2 linked regions of the Rattus norvegicus genome follow. Each later gene encodes a partner of the first gene's protein in a complex. Links are inferred from orthologs where the notes say so. Each region holds a gene or a part of one and is shown in the gene's direction. Other genes may lie near its edges.

Region 1 (5,310 bases):
ACCCAGGCGCCCAAGTTCAGGCTGCTACCTCCTGACTTAGGGACCTGGTCACAGACAGGGTCTCTGAGCAGGAGGAGGGGAGAACTAATCCTCTGCTCTTATATTGGGCTCTCTTCAGTTCTCATGTCTGCCACTCAAGCTCCTCTGGAACTCTTTAAAAATTTACTTCTCTTTATATGTGGGTGTTTTGACTGATGTGTGTCTATGCACTGTGGCATGCAGTGCCCACAGGGGCCAGAAGAAGGCATTGGATTCCCCTGAGACTGCAGTCACGGGTGGTTGCGAGCTGCAAGGGGGCGCAGGAATCAAACCCAGGTAGCCTGCAAGAGTAACAAGTGCTCTCACCACTGAGCCATCTCTCCAGCCCCTCTACTTGTGAATTACAGAGTAACATTTAATGCTTTAGAATTTAATCTGTCTCTGTGTTCTATTTTTTCCTATTTCCTGCCTATTCTTCTTTCTCATTTCCCTGTGCCAGAATTCATTACATAGCATAGACTGGTCTGGAATGAGTAATCCTCCTGCCTCAGCCTCTTGAGTACTGGAATTAAAGGTATGAACCACCATGCCTCACTTTGTCTTTCTTGCCCCCATGAACTTGAAGATGCCTCAGGATGGCCTTTTGCAGCAGTCCTTAGAGACCTGGTCTGTATGGTGGTCCAGCCTGGGGTCAGCGTCAGCTTCCTCTCCTTTGGGAGCAGACCCTAAACACTGTCATCCCAGCCTCCTCTTTCCTGGTTTCTCCCTTGTAGGACAGCTGTTTGGTATAAGTTTTCTTCTTTCTGTGCCCCTGACAGCAGCTATCCGTGATGAGGAACTTGGTTTAGTTCATGGCCAGATTCCCAGTTCTAGAATGGCTCTGATGCCAAGCTCTCTCTCACCTTTGGATATAGCTCTGTGCACAGGAGTCTCTGAGCCTATAGCCCTCCTCCTGTCTGAGTCTTCTCCCTTATTCCCATCTCCTTCCTTCTCCGCTTCTCGCACGGTTTCCTCACCTCGTCTCCCAGTGCTTACAGCAGGATAGTAGTCTAAGTTACTGTGTAACATACTAATTTATTGAATTCCATTGTGATCCAAGTATAAAATGAAGACTTAGATACATCTAAAGCATAATTAAGTCTTCTCACTGTAGAGCCTCCCACCTGTGTGTTGTGTAGGGACTGCATTTACTCAGTAGTCACCAGATCTGGGGACCCACAGTGACCTCCGTGTGGGTGCAGGTGCATGTGTGCGCTCCCAGCCCCCATTCTCTTACACTCTTACCTGACAAAGGAAGCGAGCAGAGAATCACACAGGCAGCAGGGAGCACACTTCTGTTAGACCCACCAAGGAGGTCCCTGGTCCTTAAAGGGTGCTCGACAGAAGTACAGATGGGGAGCCTCGAGCCGGTTTGGTCTGACATATCTGTATCTTTTGTGTGTTTCCATCCCTTTCCTGTACAGATGGTTTTGGTCTGTGCTGCCCTCCTCAAACCTGCCTCCTTTCTGTTTGAAGAGTCGGGATCCACACTGAAATCTAAGCTGTGCTCTGGAGCTCAGTCTTTTGAAGGCGCTGTGGCCCAGTGTCTTCAAGACTGAGCCCACCCCGCAGCAGGGCCCCCAACCCCAGTTTGGTTTCCAGTGGAAGTGGTTATTGTGTTTGGCTGATTTTAGGTTTGTTTTTTCTTTTTTAAGATAAAGTGATTTAAACATTAAAGGAATTTAGAAACTTAGTTACCCAGTGCATACCTGCCAGACTTCTAAAACCTCTGTGATGTTTTTGCATTCATCTAAGTTTTCTTTATATTGCACAGTGTGAGTGGCCTGAGGCATTGGCTCTGTCTGGAAAGTGCTTGCTCTGAAAGCATGAGGACCCAAGTTCAAGCCTTAGAGCTGGGAGGTGAGGCAGGAGGATCCTTGGGGCTCGCTGGCCAGCCCGCCTCCAAAAATCAGCAGAGCGATTGAGGAAGACAGTGAGGCAACCTCTGCTCTTCATGCGCGCACACACACACACACACACACACACACACATACACACACAGTCACATACACAGTCTCACACAGTCACACAGAAAATGTAGAAAAGGAAAGTGTTCTGTGCTTAGGGTCTAAAGTCAGAATTCAACAGGAAATTAGAAGGGCATAGTTGTTCATAAATTCTCTATGTCTCCCTAGAGCTTGAAATGTTCACCTACCAAACTCTTATTATAGAATGCTTAGAAACTCCCAACTGGCAGTGGTGGCTCACACTTTTAATCCCAGCTCTTGGGGGACAGAGGGAGGCAGACCTCTGAGTTCAAGACCAGCCTGGTCTACAGAGGGAATTCCAATACACACTCAGGACTACACAGAGAATGCCTATTTTGAAAAATCAATCAATCAATTAATCAATCAATAAGCAAGCTGGAACTGGAATGGTGGTTGGCAGTTGAGAGCACTTCCTGCTCTTTCAAAGGACCTGACCTTGATTCCCCAGCATCCACAAGGCACTTCACAACCTCTTATAACTTCCGCTCCAGGCATCTGATGCCCTCTTCTGGCCTGCTTGGGTACTGCATGCACATGGCATTCATTCACACACATCTTTAAAGCAGTCAGAAAATGATGCCGTTAGCACATGTGAGCGTGTTATTATTGTTCCAGGGAGTGGCTGTATTTGTTGTGCCATGAAATGTTGAATCCGTATTATGGACTCTTCCAGTATTCCACGGACAATATTTACACACTGCAAATCAACCCAGATTCTTCTATCAACCCTGTGAGTATTACCATGAGGAGTTGAGAAATCCAGCTGTAGTTCTAAGGCAAACCTGGGTCCCCTAGTTATGGGTGACTTAGAGAAAATGCTGGGGAGAGCTCAGGGCAAAGGCGGGGAGTACTGACTGACTGGACCAGACTCTAGTCAGGTTTAGATCTGGAACCTGCAGGGGAGGACTGTGGGTCTGAGCTGCTCTGTGCCTGAGTCCTTTACCCTTTGAGGGGACTCTGGTATAGTGGGAGATGGTGGTCTTTTGGATGTCATCTTAAGAGCTAGGTTACCAAGTCAATTCGCTGATCAAAATTGGAAAAGTTTCATAATTAGCTCTCTTGGGCCACAGCTGTGAGCATTCCACATGCGGTAGGCACAGGGACACATCTAAGGGACCTCCTACACCCTGGAGGTCACAAGGCCACAGAGTTGAAATGAGGGACTATCTCTACTAGAGAATTAAAATACAAATGAACTGTGGTTGGGAAAGTGGTTCAGCCACACAAGCGTAAAGACTGACGTGAGACTGCGAATTCACTGCAGAATCCACATAGAAAGCCATATGTGACTGGGCACGGGGTTACATATTTTAATTCCAGCTCTCAGGAAGCAGAAGCAGGCCTAAGAGCTAACTCTGAGTTGGAGGCCAGCTGTAGTGAGATCAAGAATAGTTGGGGCTATGTAGAAAGACCCTGTTTTCAAACACCAAACAAACAACAAAAACACAGACGCCAGACATGGTTGTACATGCGCTGGGGAAGTGGACCTGGGTGACTCCTGGAGCGCACTGGCTGGCCAGCCTAATCTGTGAGATCCAGGTTCAGTGAAAGATCCTGGCAGCACTGGGCAGCAACTGGGGGATGAAGGTGATCTTCACATTCACCACACATGCACATCCACACAGTGAATAAACCTTTACCCAGCCTGGAAACTAAATCCTGACACGTTTTCAGAAACACACGAGCTATGAGTGCTTAAACTCCAGAGCCCCTCCAGCTGAGGAGGAAGAAGCACAGCCTTCCTAACTGTCGAGGGCTCCGCATGTTTACTTTGTACCAGGCCCCTGCACGCTAACTAAGTTCTCAGTGTTAGGCCAGGGCGTGTGTGCTGGTGCAGTTGTCATCCCAGTACTCTGAAGGCTGAGGCAGAAGGATTGTGAAGTACCAGTCCCACTTGTGTTAGGAGTGAGTGAAGCTGGAACTCAGTGGCAGCCTTCCTGTCTGGCCGTGGGTAGGTGAGGGATGGGCAGCTGAGTATATGTCCTGTTGGGTGTAGAGTCACAGGAAGCCTGTGGGAAGTGGGTATCCTCGCCTACTCGTCATCTTCCTAATGTCCGCCTGCCGTTCTCTGGCGCCCCCTATAGGACCATCTGTCTTACTTCCACTTTGTGGGTCGCATCATGGGTCTGGCTGTGTTCCATGGACACTACATAAACGGGGGCTTCACAGTTCCTTTCTACAAGCAGCTCCTGGGAAAACCCATCCAGCTGTCGGATCTGGAGTCAGTGGACCCAGAACTTCACAAGAGCTTGGTGTGGATTCTGTAAGTGTCACCATCCTTTCCCACAGCTCAGGATGCTGTTGGGTGTGCATTCTTTTGGGGGAACAGGTGTGAAACTAAAGAGAGTAACAGAATTAACTATAACAACATCCAACATTGGGTTGCAATTACAAATTAACAAAACATGTCATCATTTAATTGATTGTATTCTTTTCATAAGCTGGTTTGGCTTGTTATTAGGTTTGATTACAAATGCCAGTAACTTGCCTGGTTTCGTGGGGGTGGGGTGGATGGAGATCATGCACCCCTAAAATTTCTCAGGTGACCTGTAGAAGTTAAGAGAAAGTTTCAAGACAAAAATTCATGTTTAGTTACCTCGTTGTAGAGTTAACCAAATGCTTGCCAGGGCAGCAGGAACGGGGTAAAGTATGGCTCTGATGTGTTCCTGTAGAAGACCCAGCCCCTGACTAGTTGGGGAGGCTGCTATATGGAGTCTGGCTGGGGTGGGGTGTTCCTCCTTGGCCTCGCCTGCTCCATGGTACAGGGCTGTAGGAAGTGGAGGCTTCCCTGTGGGGAAACAGTTATCAAGAAGTAGGGCAGATAGAGAGTCAGCCTGACATTTCCAGTGCCTTCAGAGGGGAGAAGCCTTATTGTCCTGGCTGTGTCCTTTTGACTGAGCTCCCTCTTCACAGGCCTCAGCTCCTAGAGCAATTAGGTTCCCGTCCCGTGGTGTCCGTCATAGGATAGCTGAGTGATGCCCCCCCCCCCCAGAGTGGTAACCATAAAGTGAGGGGCAGAACTTAGACTGTGCCTGTCAGCGGTCCAGCCGCCAGGGCTCCCTGGCATAGGCCTAACCAGCCTTCCCCTGTGCCTGCAGAGAGAATGACATCACGCCAGTGCTGGATCACACCTTCTGCGTGGAGCACAATGCTTTTGGGCGGATCCTTCAGCATGAACTGAAACCCAATGGCAGAAATGTGCCTGTCACTGAGGAGAACAAGAAGGAGTATGTGCGGTAAGATGCAGGGCTGGCTTCAGCGGTGCTGTGGAGCGAGCAGAAGGCGCTGTCGGGGGCCCCTGATG
Region 2 (6,064 bases), on another chromosome or scaffold:
CTTAACTCCTAAGACATCTCTTCAGCCTTCCTTTCAGGATTTAAATAAGAACCATGTACCGCCTTTAGCTGTCTGCATTAAAAAAAAAGCTATATTTGGATAAAATTCACAATTGTAGAATGTAGCTATTCAAAATATACACTCATATGTTTTTTGCTGTATTCACACAGTTGTGTAACTACCAGATTTATTATTAACCTTATTTTTGAGATCTTTTACCATGCTTATATCTTTCATGACCCTCCCAGGCTTTCAATCCTGCACCCCACACTCTAATTTCCTATTCTCTTCCTATGGCTTTGTCTATTACGAACATCTTGCATGAAGGAAGCAGATTATATGGGGTCTTTATTTATTAATTCGGCAGAGGGCCTGTTATTTGATTGTTTTATTTTGTTGGTCACAGTGGCCACGGTGGCCTTGAAGTTATTATAAAGCCAAGGATGATCTTGAACTTCTGAATTACAGGTGAGCACTATCCCACCCGGTTATTCCATGCGAAGGGTGGAACCGAGGCTCTCATTGGGCCCTGGGAGACAGAGGAAGTGCTCCTTTCCTTTTCCATGGTTGAATAATGCTCCCGTGTATGGATATACCCCACTCTGTCAGCAGAGGGTCTGTGGACGGGAGGGGAATGACCCTGAGTGGCCTTTAGTCAAGCTCTCTCCAGCTGTTGCCCAAGGGACCAGAGAGCAACCAACTATGTCAAATGCTGCTTTTAAGGAAAATAAGATGAGGTCCAAAAATTGACCAGTAAGTGCTCAAATAGTTTAATGAAGAAAGGAATTTAATTAGCAGAAATATTCTTATGTATAATTTATAAATGGCATTTTATGGGTTTATGGGATTTGTTGCATTTCCTTTGAATAATTAAATATGGAATACAGATATAATACTTAAATAATTAATAAGAATTTTAAGTGGAATGCCAGGCATGTAAAGGTACAGGAATAATTGGAGAGTGTCATTAATTTGTAGTGGCCTTTGGTATTTCTTTATATTGCTGGTAATGATTTTTTTCTTCTTTTGGTTTGTGGGGCATTTACTCCTAGAATAGTTCTTCTCTGAACATAACTCAACATTATGATAAGTGTCCAAGATTTCATGCCAACTTCCAGAAACTGACCAAAAAAAAAGTTGATTGTTTCAAGAGGGTGTTTTTGGTGTCTGAACAGATCAGTAAGATGTGAGCTCCTTTGTGTTTGTGTATTTTTGTTTTGTGGGGTTTTTGTTTGGGGGGTGGGGGTGGAAACAGGGGCAAGACCCTGTCATCTAAAAATTTACACCAAAAATTTATAGTACTAAAAGGGTATTTCCCAATTCAAGGCCAGCCTGGGCTAAAGGGAGAGATCCCGTTCCAAGCCGGCAAGCAAGCAAGTGAACAAAAGGGCTAGGTGGTGAAGCTCAGTTGTAAAGTTCCTTCCTGCCCAGGATGCACAAGGCCAGGTTCGATTCCCAGAATCTTATAAATAAAAATATGTGTAGATCTATAATCCCAGATCTCACGATGTGGAGGCTGGAGGAAGAGAAGTTCAAGGTCTTTTCCCCTTCAAAGTGAGTTCGGGGTCATCCTGGGCTACAAGAGACCATGTATCAAACATACAAATGGCTTTTGTCATTTGCCGCAGCAAGGGTACATACTAGAAATAAATGCATTTACCTAGCAGTTAACAGGTCACCCAGTTTGGGGCTCAGGCCACATGGAGGGCCGGTAAATCACTGGGTCAGTGATTGCAGGGCCATTAAAATGGGTTTTTAGGACGATTGGGTGGGTTTGATGGTCGTGTTTGAGAACATTTCAGAAAATAACACAGGCTTTGGAACTTGACTGGCAGCTAGGCAGGGACTACAGAGTCAGAGGCAGGCGCGGGCCGGGAATTTGGAGAGGATCCCTAAGCAGCAGCGGGCGCGCGCGGTGCGCGTGTGAGCGAGGGCGAGCGGCGGGCGGGTTGTGCGCCGGGTATTGGCAGGCGGGCTGTGGAGGCTGGGCGGTTCCGACTGCCTGACGCCAGCGCGACCAGATCAATCCAGGCTCGGGGAGCGAGCGGGCGCACCAAGGCGAGGCCAGGGCCGAGGCGCGGGGACGGCGGCCGAGAGCTAAGCGAAGCGCTGGGACGGTGACTGGGAACGGATCGGAGCGCGGGACCCGGCGCCGGGTCTCGTGCGTCCCCGCCGATGGGCGCGCCGCCGAGCCGGTAAAGCCGAGCGTACCCGAGCCGACTCGAGAGGGACTTGTCCTGTGCCGCGCGGGGCGCACCGGGACAAGGACCAGCTCCAGGGGATCCAGGGCCGGCTCCGTGGGGCATCCCGGGTGGGCTTCGGGGAAGATCGGGGACGGGCTCCGAGGGCATTAGGGGCGGGCTCCGGGGTCAATCTGGGACGTGCTCCGGGGAGGATCCGGGAGGACTCGGGGACCCGCGCTGAAGGGAATCTGGGACGAGCTCCGGGACACAGTCCCCCCCCACCCCCCATGATGGCGTCTCGCAGCCGCGAACCTGCCGCCAGACCTCTTCTCCCGTCTCCCCGCGTCTTTGTCGGGCGTGTCCAGCTCTCCGGGGACCCCCGTTCCGCATCGGGCCGCAGCCCCATTGTGTCCCCGCCCCGGCCTGCAGACCCTCGCGGGGACAGCGCTGCGCTCAGCTCGGGTCTCCCTGGATGGACGCGCGCGCCCCTGTGGGGTCCCCACACTGCCTGATTTGGGGATCGAGGTTAAGGAAAGTTCGCGGCGGAGTTCCCTCTGATTTATTCAAAGGTCTGGCCGCCTCGCGTCCCCCCCCCCCCCTCCGCCTACACCCCCTGCGTCGCCCAGTGTCGCCTCATTCCTTTCCCTTTACCGGATTCGATTGCCTCACTGCAGCGTTCCGAGCGCCGGGAACAACTGCTCTCGTCCAGACTGTCTTTGTTAGTGTTTCTGTCGCGGGGTGGGGGTGGTGGGCGTGAGAGCGCGGGCCTCTGCAGCCGCGTTGCGGACTGCGTGTGAAGGCTGCGGGGGCAGCGTCTCCCCGAGGTGCTTTGGGGAGCCAGGAGGGACCATGGCCGGCCACATCCAGACACTGTGGTAGTCGCGGCTTTTGTTTATTCGGAGGCACATGCAGTTTTTCTAAAATGCACGGCACAAAATAATCCAGCTAAGAGCTTTCCATCTGAAAATCCTAGCCCATGCCACAGCCATCTAAGAGAAAATCGTAGTAGAGTGCATGTTGTCAACCCTGGCCTCTTTCTTCCCCCTCTCTAGGGTTCTTGGGTGACATCTGAAGTTTTCAAAGCCCGGACTGAAAGGAGTTGCTTGGTTTATGTAATGTCTTCCTGTTGCTGGAGCAAAATCACAGCACGCTCTTTCCAGCATCTCTCGCTCTAAGGGCCTGTGGTGGATAATGTGCCCACACCTCAGCACAATGAGAAAACTGTTCCCTGACCAGGTTCATTTTTCATCTTGTTTATAATTACCACTTCACGCTGTACCGGAAGCTGATGAGCTGTGCTGGAACAGTTCACAGAGTCGAGGCAGAGGCAGTGGTGTTTTCAATTGGTGTGGATGTTTCACACCGGCGGCGGTACTGTGATGGAGGTTGCAGGCCTAAACAGGCTGTGCGGACTTTCGGGTGCGCCCTCCCCGCCTCTGCTTTTCTAATTTTCAGTTATACGATATTTCTGTGAAGGTGGTGCTCCATTTGTGTAAGTCTGCTTTTCTTAGGAAACTGTAAACCAGGGTCTTGAGAGATGGGTTTTCTGGGGGTGGGGATGTCAGAGGCTCCCGAGAATGATCAGGTTTCTTCAGAGGATAGGGATTTGTCCTTGATTTAGTTTTGACCCTTGCAACCATAAGTAGTAACCAAATACACTCTTACTTTTGCAGTGTCCTCTAGTTTTATACCCTTGGAGAGATGGTGGTCTTTACATTTTGGAGGAGTGACAGGGTTGTTTTTGGGGGGGGGGCAATTAAAAATGCTAAACTCTTGTTCATCTTGGAATTTCCATTCCTTTTCTGGTAAGTTCACATGAGCATTAAGAGGAAGTAAATCTTGGTCCCCAGCTACACATACTAGTTAAAAACTAAATTTCGGTTTCTAATCTTGATTTCCAGCTATTCTGGGCTCAAGATAAAAATGCAGTAATGTGGTAGATTGGAGGAAGAATAAACTCGGATGTAATTAGATGAGCGTATTTAAGCAGCAGAAGCCTCCATAATCAAGGCCGAGTTGTGTGTGTGTATAAAAGATCTCATTTGTGTGGTCTTACAAGGCTAATGGAGGCATCGCCGAGACTTTATAAATAATGTAAGTTGTGTGTAATGCAGAGTCTCCAGAGAGGCAGAGAGAGCCTTTCCAACCTGCTCGAGATCTTAAATTGATTTACAGCACTGAACTGGTGCAAAATGATACATCAGAATGACATGGGGTCAGCCTGTAAAAGTCTATGATGTCAGCCTATTAGTTCAGTCATCATAATTAAACCACATTATAGGGGCAGCTAAGCTGGAGTCTGGCGTTATCCTCCAGATATGGGTGGTACATGGATTTTGTTTACGGTAGAAAGGGGAGACGGTGAAGAACCCCCGTGTTTCTGAAAGAGGGGAATGTGTTCTGAACTGTGATTTCTGGGGTGGGGAGGGCTGCATCTTGTTAAAGGCGTAGCTTTTCATTTGATGCTCTGGGGCGGCAATGGGGACCTTTGCAGTGCCCATCTTTGTATCTGTGTGGATTCAACACGGCCTTCTGGATCCTCTGAGATATCAGAGGATGGATTGCTTCCTCGTTTCTGATCATTTGTTAGCTCTGAGCTTGCACTGTGCTGATAAGTGTGTGAGGGTATTGCCGTAACGGGTCATAGTCATCAGGCCTCCACTGAAAACACAGCAGCGACTCAGGCAGAAAAGAAAGGCCCTCGCTTTTGCCTAAGTTCTTATAGAGCGTCTTCAGTGTAGCCCAATGCTCACTGTCTAATAAGGTAGAAGCAGCCTTGTCTGTGCTGCTCAGTCATCATTTAAGATACAGTGTCGCCTGCACCACCCTCATTTCAAGTAGTCATATGTCACTACCATGCTGAAGGGAATGTACGTGGGACAGTTTTTATCCCCATAGAAAGTTCTAGACACTAGGATCTAGAGAGGTGACCTTCCTCTGTACAAATCCTTTTTTTTCCCCCAGAAAGGCAGTTTGGCAGCCAGGCCTACACAGAGAAACCCTGTCTCAAAATCCAACCAACCAAACAACCACCCACCCAACTAACCAACCACTCAACCAAAACCAACCAACCAACCAATCATCTGAACAACAATAACAACAAATTCAGTCTGGAATGATGGCTGAAGACAGAGGTTAATGTGAAGTTGGCTTTTCAGTAGATCCTGTTTGCCGTTTCTGACCATGATTTAGAGCACTAGGTAGATGGAAATTGTAGTTTTCTGTCTCCTTCTGACTTTTTAAAAGTGTGTGGTGGTTGTAACTTATTTACGCCCTGGGACTTCCCAGAAAAGTGTTGTCCCCATCTTACTGATAAAGAAACTGACGCCGAGTGACTGTGTTGCTTCAGGCCGCACAGCTGGCGAGTTCTGAGGGTTTACAGTCTGTCCAGGGATATGGATCAAGAAGCCTGTCAGCCCCGAGCCTCATTCTTAACTCTGTTTCATTTGTTTTCTGTTTTGTTTGCTTCTTAATTTTTTTCCCCCCTTGAGCTCTCTTTTCTCACAGGAAATTTTCCTGTGACCTGAGTATCCTAAGTCTGTGAAGTAGGTCTACAAACCAAGTACTTACTGATAATACATTATAAAGAAATTTGCACAGTCACGGGCCAGCAGGATGGTTCAGCATGTCAGTAAGGCTGAAGAACTGAGTTTGATTCCTGAACCCACACGGTAGAAGGAGAAAACAGACTTCCTCTAACTTCCTTAAATTAAATATAAAAACATCTTAAATTTATTGAAAAGTAATTCTTTAGTATACACACCACTTACTCAAAAGGAAAATAAATTTGCTAATTAATCAGATGGGTGTTCTTGTCTATTTGACATTAAAATTGGCTGGGCATACAGGACACGTGGAGCCTCTTCAGATTGTTTTTTGGA

Evidence for each region. The genes of interacting proteins can lie anywhere in the genome.
Region 2: the proteins of Smurf1 (region 1) and Smad1 are in contact, whole or in part, in an NMR structure (PDB 2LB1), measured with the Homo sapiens proteins. The link is inferred for Rattus norvegicus from reciprocal best matches to the Homo sapiens genes SMURF1 and SMAD1. Residues at the interface, in NP_065162.1 of Homo sapiens: Glu313, Val314, Arg315, Ser316, Arg321, Tyr323, Val325, Asp326, His327, Arg330, Thr331, Thr332, Gln333, Phe334; in NP_001003688.1 of Homo sapiens: Asp221, Thr222, Pro223, Pro224, Pro225, Ala226, Tyr227, Leu228, Pro229, Pro230, Glu231, Asp232.

What each region holds. Positions count from the first base shown.
Region 1 is NC_086030.1:14,828,004-14,833,313, forward strand, and holds part of Smurf1 (E3 ubiquitin-protein ligase SMURF1), read left to right. Parts: intron 1-2,621; coding exon 2,622-2,736; intron 2,737-4,090; coding exon 4,091-4,269; intron 4,270-5,104; coding exon 5,105-5,242; intron 5,243-5,310. UniProt on the Homo sapiens protein: E3 ubiquitin-protein ligase that acts as a negative regulator of BMP signaling pathway. Mediates ubiquitination and degradation of SMAD1 and SMAD5, 2 receptor-regulated SMADs specific for the BMP pathway.
Region 2 is NC_086037.1:45,415,504-45,421,567, forward strand, and holds the start of Smad1 (mothers against decapentaplegic homolog 1), read left to right. Parts: upstream 1-2,038; 5' UTR 2,039-2,195; intron 2,196-2,381; exon of another isoform or gene 2,382-2,752; intron 2,753-6,064. UniProt on the Homo sapiens protein: Transcriptional modulator that plays a role in various cellular processes, including embryonic development, cell differentiation, and tissue homeostasis.